Linked DNA regions of Medicago truncatula. The protein of the gene in region 1 binds, or shares a complex with, the protein of each later gene. Links are inferred from orthologs where the notes say so. Each region holds a gene or a part of one and is shown on either strand. Other genes may lie near its edges.

Evidence for each region.
Region 2: protein PLASTID TRANSCRIPTIONALLY ACTIVE 10 (region 1) and protein PLASTID TRANSCRIPTIONALLY ACTIVE 12, chloroplastic share a complex: the UniProt entries of both Arabidopsis thaliana proteins name them as parts of the transcriptionally active chromosome (TAC) complex. The link is inferred for Medicago truncatula from reciprocal best matches to the Arabidopsis thaliana genes PDE312 and PTAC12.

What each region holds. Positions count from the first base shown.
Region 1 is NC_053044.1:37,563,869-37,571,563, forward strand, and holds the start of protein PLASTID TRANSCRIPTIONALLY ACTIVE 10, read right to left. Parts: upstream 3,291-7,695; 5' UTR 3,222-3,290; coding exon 2,496-3,221; intron 2,379-2,495; coding exon 2,319-2,378; intron 2,212-2,318; coding exon 2,182-2,211; intron 1,569-2,181; coding exon 1,495-1,568; intron 808-1,494; coding exon 726-807; intron 25-725; coding exon 1-24.
Region 2 is NC_053043.1:5,999,156-6,006,601, reverse strand, and holds the start of protein PLASTID TRANSCRIPTIONALLY ACTIVE 12, chloroplastic, read left to right. Parts: upstream 1-4,075; 5' UTR 4,076-4,207; coding exon 4,208-4,261; intron 4,262-5,079; coding exon 5,080-5,778; intron 5,779-5,914; coding exon 5,915-6,027; intron 6,028-6,330; coding exon 6,331-6,590; intron 6,591-7,446. Other genes in the region: BTB/POZ domain-containing protein At5g03250, read right to left, coding at 1-102, 651-1,862, 2,675-2,744, 2,980-3,038. UniProt on the Arabidopsis thaliana protein: Involved in plastid gene expression. Acidic transcriptional coactivator necessary for the transactivation of many PIFs target genes (class B genes), particularly during the regulation of hypocotyl growth.

The sequences.
Region 1 (7,695 bases):
GAAGCGATAAGGATCTCGCTTTGCCTACAAAGTAAAAATGTGAATGAGTTAATAAGTAGAGTAAACATTCATTACAAGAAAACCACTTATGGCCAAACAAGGATATAATTGAACTATGTATATATTATAGAATCAGTAATATAGCCTTGTGTGTCCTACCAAAATTGCCTATAAAAAAATGCAAAAAAGCTTAAAGTAAGGATACACAAGAAACAATTTCAGTCACACGCAACCAATGACATGGTTAAATGGTGAATTATAGTGGAAAGTTGAAACAAGGGTAGACCTTTCTTAGTACCAAAAATGGATGAATAAAAGAAAGAGGCATCAAACACCGAGGCCAGAGGTTAAACATATCGCCCCCTTCCCTTTGGAATGGGGTGAGCAATAAACTGGAAAATTGGATACCTGATGTGGGGATACCAACAGAAACTAAGGACAGTGCTTCTGATGGGTAAGTGGGAGCTTGCCCCAGTTGTTGCACACAAGAGAGAGAAAATTCACCTTGTATAATACAATTTGAGCTAGAGTTCCTATTTCAAAACGTGAACATAACAACATGAAGAAAAATGCAGCACCAACTAGTTTCCTATCGATGGGTAAAAAAACTACAATTTGGCAGGTAACAGTACAGTTAAAGGCACCATCACTGTATTATCAAGTATATAAGGTAAGTATTAAGTGACAAGTATGGAATATTCTCAACTAGTGACCGAAATACTCACCGTAATTTCAACAATGACTGTCATACCCACTTTTATGTGATGGCGAATCCAAAACCAATCATTGTTCTTTATAGGAACCCACCTAGAACACGTTACAGTAGATGAATATTCCAGAAGAAAACTTGCATAAAAGTAAAAGCTAAAACAGTGGCACTGAACAAGATAACAATGGTACAGAAGTAAAGTCTATAAGTTACTCGTGATAACAGTATGAAGTACTGCTGGTACACAGCAGCAGCAAACAAAAGAAAATATGCAATAACCCATGGCAGCATATAAAGAGAAAACAATGTCTCCTAGTCAAAGATCAAAGAAAGAGAAAACAATCTCAGTGTTGAATAATTTTCAGTAAACTGGGCTACCACATGATACAAAAGAGACAGTATGATTTCCCTGTAGCTCTAGTCTGTAAACAACCAGTACTTTTTTTTCTAACAAAAAAATGCATCCAAAGTCTAGAGATTTAACAAGTCTCAGGTGTGTTTCTCTAGGTACTTGTTTTGTTTCTGCCATGGCTTTGGATATAATGAAGCATTTCAGTGCTGGTACAAATGCTTGTGAAGATGCTTTTCCCAATTTATTTTTGCACCACATGATATTGATTAAACATTCTAAAGTTATAGATATAGTTATTAATTTAGCAAGAATATCATTGTGGAAGCAACTCAATATTACTTACTCCAGCATCCAAAACAATGAGGAAATGAACACCCAATACAGAAAAAGTTAAGGGAACACTTAAAAGATGGACAGAGGGATTGGTATGTACCCATCGTATACTCCGCCAATGTCAACAAATGCCCCTTGATAGAGATGCAAAGTTGTCACCTTCCCCACACAAATCTGCAATGAAAAATTATCATGTAAGCATTTATGAAAACTTGAATCTCAATCCTACATATTTATTTATTAAAAATTATGATACAGAAAAAGACTGATTTTAACTATACGAATGAAATGAAGCCAAACAAAAATAGGATCATCTATTGGACTACATATACAGTTGTCCAATTAGAGACATCATGATTGATCAAACCAAAAAGAAAGAAAAAAGGAAAAAAAAAACTGTGACAACGTGATGCTGCCATTAAAGGGTAAATTCAGTTATTCATAGTTTTCTTAAACAAAATTTCCAGTCAGCAATTTAAAAATGTAATATGCACGTTGTCATAACTGAAAAGATCACTGTACATGCCTATTGAAGACTAGCCTAGTCCCACCATATGAAATCAGTTTCTTCCAAGCAGCAGAAAATGATAGAATGCAATGCTTGCCCGTGCGTATAAAATTATAATAGCAGTAATTCGAAACAACCAGGTGAATATGAAAACACACTAATACCATAGGAAATCTTAAGAACACGATACTGATAAAAAGTAAAGCATCGACTTTATAGACAACAACAATACAATATAATCCATAATGAGTATGAACTAAGAATTGTGAAATAGCTTACTTGGCCAGGATAATAGAACGGTAGCTCGTACTGCAAAAACCATTTAAAAAAACAGTTAGCCCCAGAACAAGTTTGCTTTCTCACATTCCAAATACATACAAACATAAAAAAAGAATCGTGAATTCATCATATCCTACCATGCCATCCTTGTAATCCTTGCCTCTTTTCCTCCTACCAGGGTGATAATCTTGGTCTAACTGTAGCATTCACATCACAATTAGCATTAGCAATTAGCAATCAACATAAACCAAATCAAAAAACTATGAATGCACATTGTAATAATTTAAACAAGTATGAAATGAAATTGAAGAAACCTTATAGGATTCCTCTTCCAATAAATCCTTATTAGCTTCCAACCATTCATTGTACTGTTTCAAAAACACCTTATACCTATCCAAACACACATCATCAGTTTCAGTTCTAACACCATTTTCAATATCCTCCAACCTCACCCTCTTTGCCTCCATCTTATGCGCTTCACGAATAAACGCGAGCTCTTCACGATCCACCTCCCACCCTCTCGGCGGCCAATCCCTCGGCGGCACCAACTTCACCACCAACGGTCCTGCCCACTTAGTCTCCAACTCCTCCGGAACATCTTCCTTAATCTCAAATTGCTTCGCCAAATATTCCTCTTCTGTCACTCCCATTTCCTCAATCTTCTTCTTCCTATACCTAGGGTTCAACATTCTAAAAGCTTCAATCGACTCCGGTGAACTGAGAGGAACTTCTTCACCTTCGTTGAGACTCGTCCGCGCGAATTTGGCTTCAGGAGTGAGAATCTCTTCCCATGGAGCCCAGCCACGTTCGATCCAGTTGCGTCGTCGTGCTTCGTCTTCGGATTCTTTGGTTTTAGGGCCGAAGGTTTGGAGGAAGGTTTCGTCGACGGGGAATTCATCGGAGGTGAAGGATTTAGCAACGGTGGTGAGGGGTGGTTTGCGGTGGAGTAGAGGTGGTGGATGGCCGTGAAATAAAGGAGAGGGTTTAAGGTTTAAGGGTTTAGGGAAAGTGAAGAGATAAGAATTGGGGAAGACTTGCATTGCTACACTTCACCACCTTGCTTCACAAAACTAACATTGAGCGGATAGATAAAGTTCAAACATTTAATGAGGCAACTGCCCTTGCCTAATATAAATATGTAAGAGATAACTACATGCTCCATTTGTTAAATTTTCGATATTCATCATTTAGTTTTTAATGGAGCGATGAACCAGTCTTTTATGTCATTCATTTGTAATAAGTTGATCATTTAAGTTTTTTCGTACCATTTAGATCTTTAAATTATTTAATTTTAACAATTTAATAAAATTTTGATTGTAGAAAAGTAAGTTATTTGGTGTTTAAAAGTTACGATTAAATAATTTAAAAGATCTAAAATGTGTGAAAAAACGTAAAGACTAACTTGCTACAATTAAATAACTAAAAGATGTAAGTGGTACAAAAAAAGACTTAAAAACCCAACTTGTTATAATTAAATAACTTAAAGAATCTCTAGTGTACTTTAGCTTTCAATTTAATCATCTCACACATACGTCTCGATTATAAAAAAATTAACTTTTTTGATTCATTTAATAACTAATTTATAATTTTAATGATTGCCCCTAGAGTGCTCTTTGAGACCTTTAAATAGTAACTTTGTTCAAAAATTTAATCGATGCATTGAAAATTGAAATATTTGATTTTTTTTGTGAATATTTTTTTCTTTTGAAATCCCTAAAGAGCGCCAATACATTACTACTCCCTCCGGTCCTATTTATAAGAGAATTTTGGGTCAACAAAAGTTGATGTATCTTGTTAAAAATTCAGTCCAAATACATTCACTTTTGTTGACCTAAATTTCTCTTATAAATAGGACCGGAGGTAGTATTAGAGACTAATACATTAGTTATTGAACGAATCTAATTTTTTTGTCATGTAAGCACAACTCAGTTGGTAGCTACAAAGACAATATTATGCAGGGGCCAAGGTTCACCAAACTCTCTACTTCTTCACCTTTAAAAAGTGTGAGCTCCGACCACTAGGCTACTTAACAAAAAAAATAATAACTTTTTCTTATAATTGAGATTGGAACGGGTATTCAAAAAACGTAAGAATAGTTTTAAGTATTCTTATCAAGTATTAGTATTGCATTGTAAAATAGATCATTCATTTGAGATAATTTTTTTACAAATATGTCACTCGTAGTGGGTCGGAAAGCGTAATTAATACAAATATGTGTGATGTGCTAAATTAATTTTTTTGGTCATGCTATTTTGAAAATCTCAAAAACCTCTTGAATGGTGAGCACAGTTTTTGTGTGTTAAGCATCCGATTTTTAGGAAAAGGAGACTCAAGTTCTTCCAAATGATTTATCTTAAATAAAGCTCATTAACCAATCATGTGAACACAATTTAAATAAATTTGATTTTACTCTATTTTATTTTTCATTTATGACATAGATAAACACAAGCAATGGTTTTTTTTAAGGATCCACTAAATAAAATAAATCTTGAGTTGACATCCTCTCGATCTTAAAATAAATGGACAATTTTAATTTCAAAACTACTTAATTTGCTTCAAAATTATATGAATGGACAACATTTATTTTATGAAATAGAGAGATTCCAACAATCCTACTAATGCATCTCGTGTCAACATTTATTGACAATGAATGAAGAAAAATAAATTTACAATAAATAATTAGGCGCCACAACTCAAGAATTATCCTCTATATGTAACTATTCTCCATCCCATTTTAACCCAAACTTTTGTTTATTTTACACATATTAAGAAAAAGTGTATAAGTATTAGTACATTCCTTCTTACCATAAATGTAAAGTATAATATATTAAATTGAGAATGATAAAAGTAGTATTAATTAAATTTATAATTGGTAAAATGTAATTATTATTGTTTTGAAAAGTAAAATGAATCAATTTTTCTGGAACAATATTTTTTTGCGAATGATTAACTTATGACGGGACGGAGGAAGTACCGATTAATGACAATTTCGATGTCTAAAGTTCAATAGCTACCACAAGTGACATATAATCTGACCACTTAATCATTTGGTCAAAAGTTTGATTCGGATGTCCAAAGGATACTTCGTTTACCAAAACAAAAACAAAAGAAGAACTAACTTCTAATAGACTTAAATCCATCTTTGACCTTCTAACTACACATGTTTTTTTTTTTTTTTTATAAAACTCGGTATACGATCCAAAAATCGCTATTATCTTGATGGATCTAAGTCAAATTTGCATTCAAAGAATCTAACAAAACAAAATATGATGGTTCCACGTTTTCTACTTCAATCCATCCCCAAATCAGTAACGTTGAACCTCGTATTATTCCAAACAGGAATATCAGTTTGTCCTACGGCGCCAAATTAAGTAGCTCATGTGCTATTTCATATAATGTGATTCTTTTTTAATGAGAAGATACACTTTTTTTTTTTGTTGTTGAAGGAATGAGAAGATACACTTATACATTGAAGTTTGGATGCTACATCTACAAATTTTGCCGGATTAGTATATGTTTGAGAATAATGGGGAGACTACCAAATTGGAAAAGGGGAGAGTTTGGACACTAAAATCACATTGAAAAGAAATACGGAACTAAAGCCATACAATCGTGATATTTAGAGGACCAAAATGAACTTAAGCCCTTCTAATAATACTGCAAAGGTTTGTATCCATTTGCCATCTGCATTTTGAAATAATTTATCTTTCACTAATATGATACAAAATACGTGAGGTTATAAGTAGCCAGGGGAATAGGGAATGCAATCAATTAATGAAACATTAACTCCTAAATGATTATAAATGGAAAAATATCATCCTTATGATACAGATAATAACAAACTAGCAAAGAATAACCATCTATGCAAAGGAAATGATTCCTCTTCCTCTGGCAAATTTGACAGAGACTAACATTCCATGATGATGTTTAGCAAAAACTACAAGTGGGGACATCATCATCATGGCATGCTAACCAAATGAGAATTTAGCTTTATTTGTGTACCATTTTCAAGATTAGAATTTAGCTTCATTTGTGTAGGTTTTCATTAACATTTTTCAGCCAAATGCCAAGTTAAAAGACAACGTCAGAAAAATTGGGAGCAAGGACTGCAGAGTGAGCACATTATCTTCAATCAAATCCTTGACCGTAAACTTTAACATCATGGATGTCAACATATGGAACTTGGCAACAAAGAGGGATAAACTTTATCTAATCATTATACCAAAATCAAAGATCACCAGCTCCCACCGGAATCTCTGAGAATAATCTTGGCCTTAGTAACAAAGTTCCAAACTATGGAACCTGAAATCTTATACCTTGACAGTAAGTAGTTTGTGGTTCCCACACCAGGTTTCCAAGCATAGTAATGTTGACTTTTGTAGTCATTCTCACACCTAAGCCGCAATTTTTTTCTAGCCAAATTTATATCACATTCCAGCATACTTGTAGAGCAAAACAAAATCTTTGAAACACAGAAACAAAGCATGTAAATCTCAATAACTCATGAAATTCCCCTGCTATCCATCATATTTGAATTTAGTATTGATTTATGCTCATTGCCCAAATGAATTCGCTCATTTCCAAAGTAAATGATCAAAATGCTCCTACGCATGTTAACATGCGCTGGTACAAATTATAACATAACTTAAGATAAGTAGCGTGACTTAACATGCGCTAGTGTTATTTGTGAGTTATTTGTTGAATGCTTAGCGCAAGTTAACATGCACTAGTGTATTGTGAAACGTGAGTTAACTCACGTTGCCATTTGCACTAGCGTGAGCAGTGGCGGAGCTAGGAAATTTATGGAGTCCGGGAAAAAAATTAATCGTAAATTCACATGTGACATAATATATAAACAGTCATAAATCAAAAAAAAATTATTTTTTATTTTTTTTCCTAAAAAAAATCGAAAAAAAGAGGTTTATCATTTTGTCAACAAAAGTGCAATTTAAAATAGGGTTATTAATTGAAATTGACCACGTAATATACTTGAACTCTGAAAATTGACCCTGTAATTAAATAACATGTATTCTGACCATGTAATTCGAGATTTTTATTATTTATAACCTGTAATATACGTGAAGTCCAAAAAAGCAACCGAGAGATTGAATTTTTTCATGATTTCCTAGAGGCGAGTTAAGAACGTTAAAATATGGCTTTAACAAAAAAATTATAAATTTTCGACAAACGACAAATTAATTATGAATTTTTAAAGTGTCAAAAGCTCAAAAAACAAAACAACAGAAATCTCGATCTATAAATCAAATTTTGAGCTCATTATTTGCAAAGACATCTATAAAAATACATAAAAAGGATATGTAAAGTTTCATAGCATTTCGAAGTCGTTTAAATTTATTTTGATTTTTCAACTGAAACGTGCAAAATTGAAATTTTGTTCCGCGTAAGCGTGTACTCAGAAGCAAATTTAGTTCCCTAATTTTGTAGGCATGACTAGAACATGATAAGAACCTTCACAATGAAATTTTGTAATTTTTAAACGAGATATAAATTAAT
Region 2 (7,446 bases), on another chromosome or scaffold:
TTCATTTTGTGCTGCATGACTGCTTCCTTCCAATGATAGCTTTTGGCAATTCATTAGTCTGCATAGTTGTTCCCGTTCCGAATCTGTCAGCCATGTATGTGCCTGAAGTTTTTCGTTACATTTTGAAATATTTAGGAACAAAAGAAAACAATAGTAAAGTTTAATTAGCACATGATTGTGATTTCATGGTACTAAATTTGTGAAAGGTTCATTCACCAAATAGACCTTGTTAGTTTATTCTGCTACCTCTTTTTCTTGTTATAACCATGTTTTGTGATTTTTACATATATTAAACAAAGTAGTAGTATATTTAATATGTCGATTTTGTGTATAGATGTTTCCAAAATATCATCTTGTATATGACATCTTCAACTCTTATTTCTCATCTCTCAACACTTAGTAGCAGTAATTAGAATTTTGAGGAAAGAAAATGTACATAGAAATTTAATCTATGATTTTTATTTAGGGACAATTTTTTTACTCATTAATTCATCAACATTGAAATCATCACAAATCTCACTATTTCCTCCACAATCTTAGTTCTTCATAAATTTTCTACTATGCCAAAACATCTTACAATCTTGAAGCATAGAAAAGGAGTGCATATGAAAAATGGAATTGGCAAAGGAAGGTATACAAGATGATCTAACCTTAAGGTATACATCTATTGCGTGGTATATACCGTCGTCAAGGGGTCTGGCATAATCAGGAATTGCAACAGCAAGTGCCTGAAATTTAGACAGGTTTAGATTAGCATCTGAAGCGACTTCGGCAAGATATCCATCTACCAAGTTAGCGACCATTGTCATCGGTGTCAACGTATCAACCCCAGCAATTAATGTTCCAATTTCAGTTATACATGGAGAAGCAGATAAAGATGCAGGCTGGTAGATAGACATAAAATGGTCCAGAATCCTCTGAATACAATCTATATCATAAAGCGTCTCGACCGAGTATCCCATATTTGGAATGAGAAGATCCACAAGTGAAGCCTGATCTAGTTGAGCTCCTACCCTTTTCTCTAAATTCTCTTTGCATGATGGACTTGCACGTAATATCATTGCGGTTCGGAGCAACCGAAGGAGATGCTTAGAGGATGTGACACCTCTCTTATTAGGAATCAACTCCACAATTTCTTCTAGTAAACCCCTTTGATCAGCTTCAGAAGTTGTAGGGATTGTTGCATGATTTGTATCTTTGAAACTTGATTGTCTATTCATCAAGGGAAGAAACCGCCTAAGGTAATATATAAGAGATGCAGCAATAGTCTCCGATTTCATTCCTTTTGATTCAATAGCCAAAATCAATCTTTTATATAATGGTAGGCTCAACAAAGACACATCATAAAACCACCAATTATCACCAACAGACTGTGGTTTACTCTCACAAGACATTCCATTCAACAACTCATGTTCCTCTTGATTTTTCGCGTCATTACGGCCTGTCACTTGCCAATTGAACAAATCTGGATCCGAACAAGCCTTCATAGCCAAGGAATCAATGCATCTAGAAAAAATATGGAGATCTTCTGCAAAGTTTTGCACTTCCTCGCATGTCTCGAGCGCTTTGATGGAGTCTGGCCAATTGCTGAAAACTTCATTTAGAAAAGATTCTGTGTAACCAATAAGATTGTCTGCACCATAGTTTTCAGTCATTTGGAGATGCTCTGCTGCACATCTTAGACTAACTACATTCAATGCTGTGATTTCTAATTTCACACCATAGCAAAATTTTGTTATGAGCTCAAATGTTTTGGCTCCACCAGGAACATCATGAAGTTGCAAAATACTACTTGATCCATCCTCACTTGTGGACTCTGCAATTAGTTTCTTTAGTAGTCCACTTCTAGAAAGTAATGGAAACTGCATCAAAATCACAAATGTTGAAAAAAACTAATCACCAACATGAATTATATACTTTAATTTAACATGCTGCATAGACCAACAAAGACAAAAATTTAATTATAAATAATAGAAATTTTGAAAAACACTCTCTAACACACATTTCACTGTATTTTTGTACTTTTGTTGCAATTTGAACGAGTCTCGATATATTAAAAATCGCGTCCACTGATTCATTGGGTCTCACACAAAATTTGATGATGTACATAATATTAATATTGAATATGGCTCATACATAGACACATAGGAGGGGCAAGGGGCGGGGGAGTTGAGCTAGCGTAGCTCCCTCCGATATGGTTCATGGGTATTGTTGTAATATGAACCGTAGTACTATATATATGGCTTGTAACACTGTAAACACTAATTCACTCAAGTAATATACGAAATTACAGTCGCAGAGGTAGGCACAATTGGCCGAACCGACAAACGACCACATTCCATTGTTTCCAATTTTAAGTTTTCTTTAATCATTTGTTACTAGTTATTAACTCTAATTCACTCAAGTAATATACAAATTTAGTCACAAAGGTAGGCACAATTGGTCGAACTACATAAACAAACGATCATGTTCAATTGTTTCCGATTTAAGTTTTCTTTAATAATTAGTTACTAATTGTTGTTCTAATAATTAACTTAAGGATAATATTGAAATAAATTAACTAATGTTACATTAAGAACAATATTTCACTTATTTTAGGGTGGTATGAGGTACTATGTGAGTGGATTTATAAGAAAAAGTGTGCAATAAGTTTTAAAGTTAAATAAAAAAGTACCTTGTGGAGGAGAAAAGAAATTTCGCCAACTTCAATAGTAACATCACTTGGAAGTCCTGTTGTACAAACCCTTAAATTAAAAAACAAGATAAGATCATGGTCAATTATCCAATAAGTAAGGGAATTTGTAGATACAATTGAGAAACCTATTCTCACTATCCAAAAAAATCAAATGAAATTTAAGGTTCTATTTTGAGATAGGGAACATTAACAAAAACAACAACAAAATTACACACATTGTTAATGTCACATATTATATATAATAATATAAGGATCAATGTTGATATAGAGAAATGAGTGCTGACCATGTTTGACCTTCACGACGAAAAGCTTCAGGCTTTGATCCCAGCTTCATGGATGCCATTACATGGATTTATTTGTAATTACAGATTAATTGTTTGAAGATTGGTTGATAAAATCAAGAGACATGAAATGAGAGGAGATAAGAGAAGGAAGAGAAAGGTGGAAGTGAATGTGACCATCCTCCTCAGATTCACAGGTGGCAAGTCTAAGGCCTAATAACTGAAACAACGATAAAAACGGTTATGTGTATTTTTTTTTTTTTTTGGTCAGGTAGCCTAGTGGCTGGAGCTCACACATTTTAAATGTGGAGGAGTGGGGTGTCCGGGGTTCGAACCCCGACCCCTGCATATAAAATGCATTTGTCCCTACCAACCGAGCAGAGCTCACGGGACACGGTTATGTGTATTTAACAATCGAACTTTTATTTTTTAATTATTATATGTGTGCGAGTAAAAAATATATATTAAATGTGTCCCGTGAGCATATGGTGGCTAGATTATTTGATTTAAAAAAAATTAGAAGTGTATTTTTTATAATTTGGAATCATTTGTGCGCAATTATTGAAACTGATTCTTTCAACTTTGTGGAAATCCAAATGGAGAAAGACTCTTCCTTAAAGTTTTAATGTTGTAGCAAGATTTTTTTTTTTTTTTTAAGGAAACAAGAGCCTTCTTTTTAAATGTTAGTTTTAACGTTTTATTTTTGTTTTAAAACAATGGAATATAAGTATTAATGATAGTTTTGTGAGAAAAAATTAATGATCGTCAAGAGTATTTTATTAAAATGCACATCATCAATTAAATAATTTTTTAATTTGTGTACAAAACTTATAAACTAAAATGAAGAGATTATTTTTGTTATAAATGTTAGTAGATAGATTAATATTTTCTTCTTCAACTAGATTTAAACCCATAAAATAATTTCTTCTCTTTCATTTAAATTTGAACTATAAATATATTCAAGCAAAATTAAAAAAAAACAATCAAACATGTGAGAATGAATTTATTCAAAATCAATTTTAGTTACCTTAGAATCAAACACACTAAAATTTATTCAAACATTTAGACATTAATTAAAACATATTAAGCATTTTAAAAAAGGAAATAGAGAAAAATGGAAAATGATAAGGGAGGTAGTGTAGCAATAGAGGTAGAACAGATGAGTTGAGCGAGCTTCTGAGTTCTTCTCCCTCTCCGGACGACGTTTGAACTTCTGCAAAACGGCACCGTTATGTCTTTAATTCAAGCCAATCTTCTACCCAACTTGTCCTTCAACCATTTTCAGGTTAGCATCTTCCAAACTTTAATTATTTACCGTCTGGGTTTCTTCAATACTCTTTCTTAAACCCACTTTACATTTCATTAATTCATACCATATATATAAAAAAATCAATTTTAGAATTGAATAAACTCAAGAATTACATATTTTATCACTTATTTTCCTTTAAAGTTATATATCTTGTTTCATTATGCTTCTGTTTGCTAGAAAGAAAAAAAAAAAGACTCGTTTTTTTAACATTTTTACTAGCTAATATCTTATTTTGTTAAGTTAATTCAATTAGCTTATAGCTTATTACTTTTTCTTTCAAAGTTTTAAATATTAATTAAACATATAGTTTTTATGTCATTTCATATTTACAAGCTACTTCAACAACTAATTTGACTAAGCACTACATATTCAATCAGTTAGCTTATCCGGTATAAGTTCATCCATTATAAGTTAGCTTATCAACTATGCGCTGTTTTTTTTTTTTTTTTTTTTTTGCCAAACAGAGCCATAATGGATGGTTGATAAGTTAGCTGATAGCGGATAAGGTAGCTGATTGAATTTATAATGTTTGGTAAAGTTGGCCGCTGAACTAGCTTGTAAATATGAAATAAAAAAGAAATGTTCAATTAATATTAAGTTTTTTTTTTTTTTCAATTAAGATTACCTCGTGAGAAAATGATAGTTACCAAACAAGTCTTTTTTAGTCATACGAGCTTATAAGCTAGCAGCTACAAGTTAGCTTATCGTGCTTGCCAAACCGACCCTATGTTGTATTACTTTATAACATGTAATATGGAGCTAATTTATAGTGTAAAATGCTTGCGACCATGTAGACATCAACGTACTTGGTGGGTGTTGGCAATTTACCATGTAGAGTTGGTTTCAGAAAATCAAGAAAGAAGTTACCTTCATATAGTTGCATAAGATGTGAAAAGAATGATGAAATAAAGAAAGATGAAGAAAATAAAGATGAAGTTATTGATTATGTGACAGTTGAACGTCCACCTTATTATAGTTACATGGACTCCACCTCTGGTCAGCTTGAGCCGGCCTCGGGTGCTAGAGCAAGTATTCCTGAAGTTGAGTATTGGCCTGAAGGAACTGTTGAGCAAGTCAGGGCTGCTAGGGCGCCTACTCCGATGGGAGAATCGTTAGGTTCTCCGTCATATGGTAGTAACCCTGGTAGTAGGAGGAAGAGTTATAGAACTTCGGTTTCTGGTTCTTCCTCTGAGGGTAACGTTGAGGGGAATGTTGAATTGGATGACCCTGGTCTTCCTGAGGTTTTGGTTGAACCTCAAGAAGATTCTGAGGAGTTCACGTCCGACTATGTTGTTTATCAGTCTGAGCCTGAGGAAGAAGAGACTGAGTACAAACTTGATAAGAAATTTGGAGCTCCTCATCCATTTATTGATCCGAAAATTAAAAAGCCGATAGAAGGAACACTTACGAGTGAGGAACTGTGGTGGAATTGGAGAAAGCCGGAGAAAGAACAATGGTCCAGATGGCAAAGGAGGAGACCTGACACTGAAACGGTTAGTGTGCATTAAATTGTCTTGGAAAAGTTTTTTGATGCTGTAATTACAATGTGTGTGCTTGTGTCTGTGTATGCATTTACCGGTTTTGTGCAGTCTTACACCTTGTGTCTGAATTTCTCTATAATATTTTCAGGTTTTCCTGAAAGCCATGGCAGAAACTGGGCAAGTAAAGCTTTATGGTGAAGAACCAACATTAACAGAAACTGCTCTTTACCGAGCCAGGCGCCATCTTTATAAGGAAGAAAGGTATTGCGGACTTTTATGCTCACAACATAGTTCTGATTAGAATAGAAATGAAACTGGCGTTTTCTGTAGTGAATCTTAATGCAGAACATATAAGAAATAAGAAGTACTGCAAACAAGAAACTCAATAGAAAGGTTGAACAGTAGTTTCTTGAAGAATGAGTAAATTACTTGATGTGATTAACATCATGGATTAAGGAGAGTAACCTGATAAAGTTTACCACAATATGTCATGGGAATTTGTTATAAGGAGAGTTACCTGAAAAAATTTACTAGGAAAATGTTGAAAATTTCCAATTTTTGCAGGCTTGAGGCTGAGCAAGAGAAACTGGAAAGGATTGGTCCAATTGCGTACTATTCCGAATGGGTAAAGGCATGGAAGAGAGACACATCTCATGAAGCTATTCAGAAGCATTTCGAAGAGACTGGTGAAGATGAAACTACTCAACTAATTGAAATGTTTTCCAACCAAACTGACCGAGAGTATCGTGTAATGATGGGGACTGATGTTCGCATCCGAAGGGATCCTTTAGCAATGAGAATGAGGGAGGATCAGATAAAGCAAAGTATTGACTTTGAAATTAATATTTGTTTGTCATGTCTTTGTTTTTATTTTATTTGAGTCGTCTTGTTATCTATCCTTTTATCTTCCTTTTTATGATTCTATGATCATTCAACTGTATTTAGTATTGTTTGCCAAACAACCTCTAGATCCTACGCATAGAAGTTTAAGCAATTAGAGAAGGGCATGAGAATAAGTTGTCCATCTAAGACATACTCCTATACACATGAAAGTCTACTAGGTATGAATTGTGAGATCCCTATTGCTTAGTTGATAATCAACTTGATAGGGACTTGGATATTATGGGGTGCCCAGTGGAGTATTTAAGTGGTTTGGTTCTAAGTATTTAAGGGCGGATTTTCTAAGTATTTAGATACTTATCAATTGTAATTAGAACTGGTTGTCGGTGGCTCGGAAAGGACTACCTGCGGAGGGGCTGATTGGAATTGGCTGAGTAAAGCGTCGTAGAATGCCAGTCGCCGAGACATCGGCTCTCAATGGCAGTGCTATGTTAGGTACTTGAAAATTATAGGGTGCCCAAGTCCCCCATCTAACATGTTCAGTGGAGTAATTAAGTTGCCTGGTTCTTCCCCCTTGATAGTTAGTTTTTAAGTTTGGGTTCTCCATGTGCTTAGATACTTATCACAACTCTGCTCTGTCAATAGTTATGGTTTTTTTCCTTCTAGTAAATAACATTACTGTGCGTTTATAAGTATTACTGTGCTCTTATTATCAGGACTCAATTTGTCCGTATATAAAAAAAGGAATGGAAAAATATATGAAGACACATAACTTAAAGAATAATATTAACTTCCATATGCCTTTTTTTTTTTTTTCAGAGAAAAAACAATTTTATTGAA